3 linked regions of the Oryzias latipes genome follow. The protein of the gene in region 2 interacts with the protein of the main gene of each other region in a biochemical or structural test. Links are inferred from orthologs where the notes say so. Each region holds a gene or a part of one and is shown on either strand. Other genes may lie near its edges.

Evidence for each region.
Region 1: the proteins of snta1 (region 2) and gda interact in a test that uses a peptide from one of them, tested with the Homo sapiens proteins (2 studies listed by BioGRID and IntAct). The link is inferred for Oryzias latipes from reciprocal best matches to the Homo sapiens genes SNTA1 and GDA.
Region 3: the proteins of snta1 (region 2) and potassium voltage-gated channel subfamily A member 1-like interact in a test that uses a peptide from one of them, tested with the Homo sapiens proteins (2 studies listed by BioGRID and IntAct). The link is inferred for Oryzias latipes from reciprocal best matches to the Homo sapiens genes SNTA1 and KCNA5.

The regions. Positions count from the first base shown.
Region 1 is NC_019867.2:16,716,802-16,721,021, forward strand, and holds the start of gda (guanine deaminase), read left to right. Parts: upstream 1-1,399; 5' UTR 1,400-1,451; coding exon 1,452-1,580; intron 1,581-2,138; coding exon 2,139-2,227; intron 2,228-2,528; coding exon 2,529-2,700; intron 2,701-2,896; coding exon 2,897-2,984; intron 2,985-4,220. UniProt on the Homo sapiens protein: Catalyzes the hydrolytic deamination of guanine, producing xanthine and ammonia.
Region 2 is NC_019863.2:11,939,989-11,943,637, forward strand, and holds part of snta1 (alpha-1-syntrophin), read right to left. Parts: intron 2,150-3,649; coding exon 2,019-2,149; intron 1,703-2,018; coding exon 1,506-1,702; intron 919-1,505; coding exon 731-918; intron 1-730. UniProt on the Homo sapiens protein: Adapter protein that binds to and probably organizes the subcellular localization of a variety of membrane proteins. May link various receptors to the actin cytoskeleton and the extracellular matrix via the dystrophin glycoprotein complex.
Region 3 is NC_019881.2:23,512,058-23,516,187, reverse strand, and holds the start of potassium voltage-gated channel subfamily A member 1-like, read right to left. Parts: upstream 2,948-4,130; 5' UTR 2,201-2,947; coding exon 89-2,200; 3' UTR 1-88. UniProt on the Homo sapiens protein: Voltage-gated potassium channel that mediates transmembrane potassium transport in excitable membranes. Forms tetrameric potassium-selective channels through which potassium ions pass in accordance with their electrochemical gradient.

The sequences.
Region 1 (4,220 bases), on a different chromosome or scaffold from region 2:
TAATATTTACTGAGCTGCTGAAATCTTAAGATTTTGGGGAATTTTTTTATTTTTGCCAAGATGCAACAGGAGACTTAAGTTCTAAATAGATTTATGCTTACTCTTAATTTAGGAAGGTTTCTTACATTTTTTTTAAATAATTGGTCTGCCATTTTTGCCCAGGTGTTGAAACTATTGAAACGTTTATGTGACTTTGATTTGTGAGTGAAGGGGATTTTGAGCTATAGTTGGGTGCCACTGGGTGCCATGCTGAAAGTTCAGCCACATAAAGTCAGATAACTTTTACCTTCCAAAAAAATGATGTAATGTTTTCCATGAAGTAACTTTTACTCAGAAATAAGAAATGTCAGAGAAAGTTCTCCTTTTTCTGCATCAAGTCACAGGATAACCATAAGTTCTGTGCAGATCATCCCTTTGGTGCATGCTAGCATCATCATAAATTCATGTCATTAGTCATGTGGACTTTATAAATATAACAATGTTGTAACTTCAATGTGTTTCTCATAAATATGAATGTGTTGGTCACAGAGGGGTCACATTCCCTTGTTAATGCACCTCACTGGGCTTGTTTTCTGCATATACAATATTATTTGAAAAAGAAGAATCTTTTCCTCTATAAAATCTCTGAATTTCATGTTCCATAGTCATTAAAAATGTTAGCGTGTTCATTTTTATAGAAAAAGAAAAAACGGGTACAATTACACTAAAAGGTGACTATTACATTTTGGATGAAGGCAGGGTACAACCATTCATACAGGGACACATGTAGCTAAATACTCTAAGCACCCTCATAAAGACGTCTTAAAATCTTGAATTTAACATGTTTTTAAGCTGGATTGTTAAATTAAACCTGTATACATTTTAAAAGTACATCACCTAAAGGGTATCAAGTATATGAATGAGAAGCCAGCACCTAAACTTTGGTCATAAATCTATTAATTATTTCACAGATTATTTAATGGTCGGGAATTCTATATCATAAAGTTAATTTTTAAAAATCTGTCTCCCTGTTAAAAATTACAATGTTATGTGCCAATTTGCAAAGCATTTTTAAAGAAAAAAAATAGTATAACATTTTGCTTTATTTATAAAAGGATGTACTTGGAATTACTTTCAGAAGTTGATGGACTTCAACGAGCCTTTTTCATTATGTTCCTGCATATTATATGTTGCCATTCTTATATAACATTTAAAGTTAATGCAAAGTTTGGCATACTCTTTGGAACAATAGAAAAGATGAGGGCTTACTTTCCTGCACGCCAACAAAAAAGCGTTTATGGATAAACCCAAGCCGCGCGGGCAGACGCACCTGAAAAAGCGCAACCACCTCCTGTCCTTCTATTGGCTGCTGGAAGTCCTGCCTCCTAGTGGGTGTTACTCTGAGCTTCACTTAGAATAAAAATCCACCGGCCAATGTCAAACTGAGTGATTGACAGTGATCTGGAGGAAAGATGGCAAACTCGGAGTGTTCCAGCGGCCCAGTTACGCACGTTTTCAGGGGGACATTTATCCACTCGACCCCCGAAACGGCGCTGCAGGTCCTGGAGGACGCGCTCCTGGGAGTGGACACTGCCGGGAAGGTTGGTCCCTTTCTGAAATGAAAATAAAAACAAAACGAAATATTTGCATTTTTGCGTTTCACTGGTTTTAAAAATAAACGAATGTATGTTAATGTTAATTTTCGCAGCATTTGTTTACTTTAAATCCCCGTGAATCTAAAGCAAAGTGCAGGTCTTTTTTTTCAACTGCTATTAATCACATAACCTAATAGTCTAGTTATGGTAAACTTTTATTAAATACTGTTTAAGTTTTTGAACACAATAAAAGGATGAGGCTAAATAAACAGCAAAACTTCTCCCTAGAAAGTAAAATAAAAATTAAGAAAATACTAAAGTTAGTTTTTCTCAGTTTGCACTCAAGCATTATAAAACAATGTTGCAGCATTACTCTGAGAATAGTGCAACAATATTGCCCTAAAATACCTCCTGAGTGGGGATCTTCCAAGTACAGTCTATTCAAAGTGTTATTAATTCTTTTCAAATTTATTTTTACATTGCACAGAATTTTATCAACATTTTCACCTTTCACATCTTGCAATTTTCAAAAAGAATTTACCTGATTTCTTTTTGGCTTGTCAGATTTCTTTCATTGGAAAGGGTGAAAACTTACTGGAACTGTCTCAGAAGTTTGGATTCAACCCATCAGACGTCAATCAACTGGCACAACAGTAAGTCAAATCAAAACCTTTAGTTGTAGATTTACAAGTTTTGATTTTAGTTGATTGGGATGGATGAGTTTGAACACGATCGTCTTGAAAAAGGACCAAAAATGAATGAATGAACTCAACGTAAAGGGGAATCTGCATGGGTAATAGCATCATAATAGCAATAATATTGGTCGGCAAAGACGGGATGTAAAAAACACATCTTTGAAACATAAATGTGCATATCTTGCTTTAAAATATATATTATAAATGAAATATGATTTGAAAAATGCATTTTTTATCTAACTTTAATTTGATTCTGCAGTGAGTTCTTCATGCCAGGAATGATTGACACACACATCCATGCATCCCAGTACAGCTACGCAGGCACAGCCTTGGACATGCCTTTACTGCAGTGGCTCAATACTTACACCTTCCCTGTGGAGTCACACTTCAAGGACTTGGAGTTTGCCAAGAAAATCTACACACAAGTAGTGGTGAGTTTTGGCAAATGGTATCTTTGAGACTAAACAGTCTCAGCATGGCCCTATAACAAAGGTTGTTGGGTCATTTTAGTGTCATAAAGACACCGTATGCTTGCAGTTTTTCATGTGGCCTTTGAGATTTGTAACCTAAACTGTACAGGCATTTAAAATGAGTGTTAATCCATGCTTTGGTTTCTGTGCTTTACAGAAGAGGACTTTAAGAAACGGAACAACAACTGCATGTTACTTTGCTACCATACATACAGATGCCTCTCTTCTGTTGGGTCAGATTGCAAGTAAGATTTCCTACATGCAAACCCACACATGCATTGATCCTTTTAAATATGGGCTTCCTCAAACAGCATGTCCCATCTCCAAAGAGTACACAAAAACACAGATTATTAAAAAAAAGAAAACGTACTTTTAAAGCATAATTTTCAGACAACTTTAGAAACTCATTGTGACGATTTAAGTAAATTTTTCCCACTTTATTATGCAGCACCTCTTCCAGTTGTACAGTATCCGTTAAAAGTAGAGCACCAGCTCAAAGTACAATACAAGTTCAGGTATCTTAACTGTTTTAAGGAGAATTGCTTCTCTCTTCAGTTAAAAATCCTGTAAAATCTGAATGGAGCTTCACCTTTATGCTTTGTCCTTATCAATGTGCTTGCGTCATTCAGAACACATGGTCACATAAATGTGTAACGATGCAGCCGAGCTGAACCAAACATTGGCTTTGACAGTTTTACAGTCATTTTATGTAATCAGGTACATTGAACTCTAACCTTTGTCCTCCTTACAGCTAGCTGTTACTTCTTGAACATCAGTTTTCAGCATTGGTACATTTATTATCTTGCATCCATGTGCTCTTTAAAATTTGTACTTTCGTTTCCCCTTTTGTGCGTTGTATCAGGCAGTTCGACTCGGTATAGCATTCAGAGTTAGATTAAGACAATGACTAAGCATGTAAAATCAGATAAAATTTTCCTTGGTCATACAATTCCTTTCAGAAAATCTGATATAAATGTGCATTCTCTAACTTCATTCCAGATGTTTAGTCACAGTAGCACAAACAGGCGCAGCAACAGCTCTCCACCCTAAGTCACCCGCTGATCATGCACTGAATCGGTGACACTTGGGGAAGCACATCCTTGTTACACACATGCAAAAAGCGTCTGAAAGATTTGTATCTCAGCATCTCAGATGAGGAAGAATACATCCGGCCAGGTTAAAAACAAACTTAATTCAAAACAAATTAACCTGGTTTTAGATTTTTCCTTTTTTTTCAAATTAAAAAAAATAACTAAACGTGCTGTACAAAGGTCTACCACATGCATGCTCAGGTTACTAAAGAGTGGAACAAGGATGGGATTGGGTCTAAAAAGTAAAAAGTAAAAACTAAACTATACTGATAAAATTATTTAAAAAAATATCATTATTAATCAAATATCCTGGGGTAATTAAACACAACAGTGGACTGAAAAAGTGTTGACACTGGAAATGTCATTGCAGGTCATGACAGGAAACACTGA
Region 2 (3,649 bases):
CAAAATGGTGAAAAATGAAATGAAAACATTCAACATGTCTAATATTAGGTTCAGTTCGAAGACCCACTCTGTTGAAAATAGCTGTTTCTGTGTTTTTAACATGTCATTGTGGCATTTTTCTCATGATGAGGACATATACAAAGAAAATTAAGCTTGACTTTGCATTTCTGAGTATTTTTTATTCAATCGCCCTGAATCAGGAGCAGACTCACACACATTCTTCTTTTAAGTTGGGGATGTGAGCGGCTGCAAGCTAACGGGAGAGCTTGTAAACAGAAAGCTCTCAGCAAGAGAGAGAGTAAGAGGAGCAGTACTGCTCCGCTGTAACGGTTCCGCCCACAACTCGAAGGTGAATTTCTAAAAAAAAAAAAAACTCATGCTGCTATGAAAAAACTATGTCCTAGATAACAACAGGACTTTTTGATTTAGGCTAAAACGTTATAATCATAACTAAAAGATTACTGGGAACACTTTTACAATAGATATTTTATGAAGCCTAATGTACTGGTTTGTGTTGCTTCCTTTTCCCATTAAAATTGACAGAAAAAGTAAACAATCCCTTATTGTTGGGCTTTAACGTTGGGACATATTTGACTTTCCTATCAAAATTAATATTACATTTAGCCACATATCTTAAATGACTTCTTTATTTTAGTTTGCTTTAGTTTTAAGAATTGTTTCGACTTTGAATACTGCATCTGTAATTTTAAAATAAAAAGGTATGTCTGACAAGCTCAGCCTCAGGGCCTCCAAAGTCGAGGAACATCATTCGAACTCCGTCATCTGATGACATTCGAAGGCGCTCAAAGGGCTGCTGGAGGAGAATGCTTTTCCTGACTCCCATTTCTTCTGTATAAAGTGTGAAACCCTCGTCGATGTGCACTCCCAAAGTACACTCTTTCCCGTTCCAACTGCAGGCTGCAATGGCAGAAACAATAAATAAAGGTGAAAGGTGTTTTTTTTTTAAATAAAATAAGAAGTTATTTATTTATTTATTTTTCATAGTAGCTTCTAATTTTTATTTCATTTCAAATACAATTAAGACATGCTGAGATCATTTTCTAATAAAGTTTTCCGCACTACCCCCATGCAAACAGCAGAGGGCGTTATGAGTATAGGAAGTGAAACTGGATATGCTCAAATGTGCAATTGCAAAAACTACATCCACTAAATGTTTTGTTTTGGTTTTTAAGTTTTGCTTAAAAAGCCATAAAAATTGAAAATAGTCCGATTAGATTAACCTAGATTAGGATAAATACAGAGAAAAAAATCCAAAGTTTCAAAAGTTTATATATATATATATATATATATATTTTTTTTTTTTCTACTTTAGAAACTTTGGATTTCCGTTCTCCTTTTTCCTAGAATAGAATAAAAATCCTTATAGAGAAAAAACAGCAATCCTATGGGATCTGCAGAGAATACCTCTGGTGTTGAGTCACGAAGAAACTGCACAGCACGCCTTAAGAGCAACATGAAAACTTATTTTCTGGAAGGTTCTGTACCCGTGGTGACCTCTTTGATGAGCTCAGCAGCGTTGTGGCAACCCTCCACCAACAAATGGGTCCAAGCGGACAGCTCTTTCGCAGAGTCCACCCGGAACACGTGAGTCTCCACACCCTGTCTGGTTCCTGATCGCAGGCCAAAGGACAGCTCAGAGTCCGCATGCAGGCAACTTTTTCCTGGACCGGAGTGGACCAATCTGAGCGCATGGGGAGGAAATATTACTGGACTGCGGCTGGAAAAGACACCTGTTAAGAACTATTACAGATGCTCTAGCCAAGAAAAAAAAGATGGAAATGAGGCATGTAAGAGAGGAAGAAGTGAGAAAAATATGACTCATAGATTCTGCTAAAAATATAGTTTTTCCCCAGAGGTGTGATGTTGTAAAGCAGTTTAGATGTGGAAGGAGTGAACATGTGTAACAGGGAAGAAAAGAAAGAGAGCAAACTGGTTTACTGGACGGCAGAAAAAAAAGATGAGAGCAAAAGTCCTAAGCCACACATCCATGTGAGAACCTGGTGGTGATGAGCGGGTGGCTCTTGGTGGGGCTGCTGAGGCTCTGCTTGTTTTCAGGCAGTGATGGAAACAGCAGAAGGTCTTTCTCCGTCAACACAGCCAGGACTGCTTTCTCTGGACCCTGACGCATCTGCACACACAAACACCCACTTCACAGTCAAGTTAATCACCGAGACCTTTTGCTTTGCAAAGAATCTGCTCCTTCTGGATTCAAGGGAGCAGTTGTTCTCTAAACTTCAAATGCATTTGAAGAATCGTCCACATGAGGATGCCTAAATAGCTTCACATGTCATTTCTCACAGACTCTCTCACATTCCTAAGCAAAAAGCTTGAAGACAAACATCAAACTCTTGAAAATCTTGAACTTAAATGTGATTTAAAGCATTTTGTTGCTTCTGAAAGAAAATCAAAATGTAATTGATGGTATGTTTACAACATTTATTATAACTAATGTTTCCCATATGCCTTTTTGTTATTATCTACTTTGCGATGTTCTCTTTTGTGGTGTCTTCTTTGCAGGATAGGCTCCCAATAGTGAAGCTTTAACACCTAAAGGTATTTTTTTAGTGAGGATTTTATGAAAAGTAACAGTTGTCCAACACATATTTTTAAGTTTCAAATGTGTTATAAACAAACATGAAAAACTATTCTTCAATCTTTAGAGGGCTGTGGAGCATTTCCAGTGTGTGTAATAATCTCAGAAAAATCTAAAGCAGCGATGTCGGGTAATCTTAGATTGCTAAACAAAGCATCCAGCAGAGGTTGGTACAGCATGTAGAGGAGTTAACAGTCAGTGTGTTCTGAGCGGCTTCACAGGGAAACCACCTGATCTTGAGTTTATTTAGTAAGTAGCAAAAAAAAAAAAATGTGGGTTAGGTTGTGAAGGAAAGCTATTTCCAAAAAATATTCCTATCAGGGAACAGTGGATGCAGTTTATTTTTCTCAAACAGAAGACTGTTTTTGTTCTGTGTACACAAACGTATTCTAATTCCGGTATTCTACTAACCTGCTTAGTTGAGGCTTGTGTTTTGCTGCTGGACAGCTGAATTTCTCCCTTTTTGATCTATCTATTTTTAGGTATTTTTTCGGTGCAAAAAACTAAGGCAGAAAAAAGTTACTTACAAAATGCATTTATTGGTTCTACATAACAATAAATAAAATTGACCTATGTAGGTGATCTGCTTATTAAAATAAGAAAAACTATTAGCTCCCAGGAACCAAAAACTGGCCTGAAAACAAAACATTTTAACTTGCTCTTTTTTTTCATGTAGTTTGTTACAGTCGGGTGATGCCGTTACAGGTATTTCTAACAGACTTTTCACGCATGTCCCACAGATGTATAACTTTTACATTGTGTATAATATGAACACATAACGTTAAACTTAGGTGAAAAAACTAACTTAGTTAACTTAAGTTAACTAACTGACGCACGAATCGCTTATGAATTACATTTAAACAGCGCGATAATCACGAACAGTTCATGTTCTCAGTGGATTTACGTATTCTCTGTGCGTGGTTTATTCGTACTTTTTCCGTGGTTTTAACGTGGTTCATTAGTGATACATCGGTGAAAATCTCATGTAAAGACTACAACTTTTCTCCCTTTTTCCATGTATTTTCACATATGACC
Region 3 (4,130 bases), on a different chromosome or scaffold from region 2:
GTTGAGGGTTGAGACCTTTGAGCCTGTGCAGCCCGGGGGAGGGGGGTGAGGCTGGGGGGCGGTTCTGCGGGCTCGGGCGGGTCCGGGTCTACAGGTCTGTCTCGCGCGTGTCCAGGCAGAAGGCGTACAGGGACTTCTTGAAGTCCACGCTGCTGTTCGCCTTCATGTTCTTCTCCCCCCCGTCGCCCCCCTCGTTCTTCTCCGCGTCCTGGGACTTGGCGGAGGCCCGGCTGCCCCGGCGCCGCGGCTCGGGGCTGGCGCGGCCGCTTGCGGGCTCGTCCTTCAGGGAGGACTGGTCCTGGTCGGTCTCGCGGTGGTAGAAGTAGTTGAAGTTGGACACGATGACCGGAACCGGCAGCGCGATGGTCAGAACCCCCGCGATGGCGCACAGCGAGCCCACGATCTTCCCCCCGACCGTCACCGGCCGCATGTCCCCGTAGCCCACCGTCGTCATGGTAACCACGGCCCACCAGAAGGCGTCGGGGATGCTGGAGAAGTGGGACTCGGGCTCGTCCGCCTCGGCGAAGTACACGGCGCTGGAGAAGAGGATGACTCCGATGAAGAGGAAGAAGATGAGCAGCCCCAGTTCGCGCATGCTGGCTTTCAGAGTCTGGCCCAGGATCTGCAGCCCCTTGGAGTGGCGGGACAGCTTGAAGATCCGGAAGACCCGGACCAGGCGGATGACCCTCAGGATGGCCAGAGACATGGCCTGCTGGCCGTTCTGGTGCTCCTGGCCCTGCTGCTCCGCCAGCTCCGTGCCCACCGTGATGAAGTAAGGCATGATGGACATGATGTCGATGATGTTCATGATGGTCTTGGAGAACTCCGACTTGCTGGGACACGCGAAGAAGCGCACGAACAGCTCGAAGGTGAACCAGATGACGCAGGTGGTCTCGACGATGAAGAACGGGTCCGAGAAGGTGAGGGAGGGCCGCGGCGCCGTGCCGTTGTCCGGCCGGACGCTCACGGCCAGCTCGCGCTCGTCCCGGAACTCCGGCAGCGTCTCCAGGCAGAAGGTGATGATGGAAATGGTGATGACGATCACGGACACGATGGCGATGCCCCGCGCCGGACTCGAACTCTCCGGGTACTCGAAGATGAGCCAGACCTGCTTCTGGAACTCGTTCTGGGGCAGCGGCTTCTCCTCCTCCTTGATGAAGCCCTCGTCCTCGCGGAACCGCTCCATGGCCTCTTCTCCCAGCTGGTAGAACCGGATCTCGTCGGCGAACACGTCGATGGACACGTTGACGGGTCTGCGGATCTTCCCCCCGGACTGATAAAAGTACAGAATCCCGTCGAAACTGGGCCGGTTCCGGTCGAAGAAGTACTCGTTCCGGAGCGGGTCGAAGTACTTGATCCTCTTGGCCGGGTCTCCCAGCAGCGTTTCCGGGAACTGGTTCAGAGTGCCCAGCTGGGTTTCGTACCTCAGCCCGGCGATGTTGATGAGCACCCGCTCGTTGCTCTCCGCGTCCACGTCCATGTCCAGCAGGTCCTCGTCGAACAGGTGGGGGCTGTGGTCCGCGCGTAAAAGCGCATCCATGGCGTTCTCGCTGCAGCTCAGCGTGGTGTTCATGTCGTTGATCTTCCAGGGGCTCAGCTGCTGCCGGGGGCTCCCGCGGGTGTTCAGCTCCTTCCCGCGCTCCTCTCCCAGCGCCGTTTGGACGAAGCCCGGTTGAGGGACCTCCAGCGCGTGCCGGCAGTTCTCCTCGGCATTCCCGCCGCCGCCTTTGGCGCCGCCGTTTTCAAAGCTCACCAAGGCGATCTCCATGCCGCTGCCATCCACGGTCACTGAAGCAGAAGCTGAGGGGGCGCGTGGAGCCCGAACATCCCGCAGGTTTGAGTCCGGATACAGGGGGGGGGGGGGGGGGGGGGGCTGTGCGCGCGGAGCTGAGCTCTGGATCACGGCTGCTCCGCGCGCGGGGGCATGCGTGGAACGCCGCCGCTCCGGAGCGCCGCAGCTGGGAGAGATGTCAACATCCAGACCGCGGGAAGAGACGCAGACCCGGATTAGAGAGCAGCCGCGATGATCACTCCTGACGTCAGGAGTGAGGCTCGCGCGCTCAGCCGCCGCGGAAAACCGAAACACGTCTGAGAGGAGAGAGAGATGCGCTCCCTCCCTCTCTCCAGCAGCGGAGACGCGCTCCGTTTGTGGCACAAAGCGCGCGCACGGCGGTTGCATTTCTGTGCTGTCAGTCAGCATTCAGAGACACCCCCCCCCTCCAAAAACACAGGGACGTGAACTCTTCTAAGGAACATTTGTGCAAATATCTCCATGCGGAACCAATATGTTCTCTGGGTTCTCCAGGGAACCCTTCACACCCACCGGTCTCAGAGGTCGAGTCCTCTGATCTGTTTTCAGAGCGTTCCCAGTTCCCTTTTCATCCTCTGACGTTTTAGTTCTGTTTTCTAGGACATAGTTTCTGCAGAGCGGCAGGAGTCTCTGATTTGTGGGCGGGGATTATGTGGGAGATTGATGAAGACTCTGGACTCCAGCTCTTCTTCACGCTTTGAATGTCCTTTTCAAAGAATGCCCCCCCCCCCCCTCTCTCCTTGTCTCTCCCAAAGCCGTCCTCCCACGTGACCAGCTCCTCGCCTTCTCTGCCTTTGTGTCCGAGTCCTCTCCTGTGGGGGGGGGGGGGGCGGCCCCCGGGCGGCACTCTGTCCTTTGAAGGAGCCTTTTCTCCAGGATCTTCTTTGTTCCTTTCAGCCGCGCTGGTCAAAGACCCTGAAGGAAACACGACTCTCCTCGTGCTTCTGTGACGTCATCGAGCCATCACACACCGCTGGAAACAAACTGTCAGCTTTTGGTGATGAAAAAAACAAACAAACAATCAAGTTGAGGTTTCAGATGATGAACGCTGAAAGTTTCCAGTCGTCACTGATGCTCCTCAGCTTGGAGCTGGCGGCGTTTCCACCTCCAAGCTCATGACGTCACATTCCTCCAGAATTCCTGTGGTTTTTGTGGACCAAACGAGCAGAGACTCGTCCCATGACAATGCTCCAGAAACTCCAAACGTTTGCAGTTCTGCTCGGCCTACGCCGTTCTGGACTAAGTGACGTCATCCATGAAGCTCCAACCAGCTCCAACCAGAGGGGGTCGATTCAGTCACCATTTCTGCACGACACGGACGTGATTCAGACAAAAATGGCAACTGAATTGACTTTCTTGATCCAAATGGGTCAGAGTCATTGTTTCTATGACAACCACTCTCACCAATCAGGAGGGAGCTTCTTAGAAGGCCACACCCCCACCGCTTGAAAGCGGCTACAAACTCTGAGTAAATCAGTAAAAGCGGATTTTCTGTGGCGACCCCTGAAGGGGGACAGCGGCGATACGATACGTATCCAGATATTTTATTGGAAAACTTTTTTTTTTAGGAGTATGACTTAAAAAACTGTACCTGGATATTAATGTGTCTTTCATCGTAATAATACGATCTAATGCAGTCTATTTAATGATTACAATGTTTAGCACTGCAACTGTATCACATACAGTGGTGGACAAAATAGTTGGTACCCCTCAGTTAAAGAAAGGAAGTCCACAATGTTCACTGAAATGACTTGAAAGGTTCAAAGGGAACAATAAATTAATATGTATTGAAAATTGAAAAATCAGAATCAACCATTACTTTTGAGTTTTTGATGAACAGAATTATTTAAAAAAAACAAACTAATGAAATAGGGCTGGACAAAAATGATGGTAACCATAACTTCATATTTTGTTGCACAACCTTTTGAGACAATCACTGCAACTAAACGGTTTCTGTATTTGTCAATGAGCCTTCTGCACCTGTCCACAGGTATTCTGGCCCCCTCCTCATGAGCAAACTGCTCCAGTTGTCTCAGGTTTGACGGTTCTCCAAATAGCATGTTTCAGCTCCTTCCACTGATGTTCAATGGGATTCAGATCTGGGCTCATAGAATCCACTTCAGAATAGTCCAACGCTTTTCTCTGAGCCATTCTTGGGGGTTTCTGGCTGTGTGTTTTGGATGGTTGTCCTGTTGGAAGACCCATGACCTGCGACTGAGACCAAGCTTTCTGACACTAGGCAGCACATTTCTACCCAGAATGCCTTGATAATCTGGAGATCTCATTTGACCTTCACAACTTCAAGACATCCTGTGGCAGA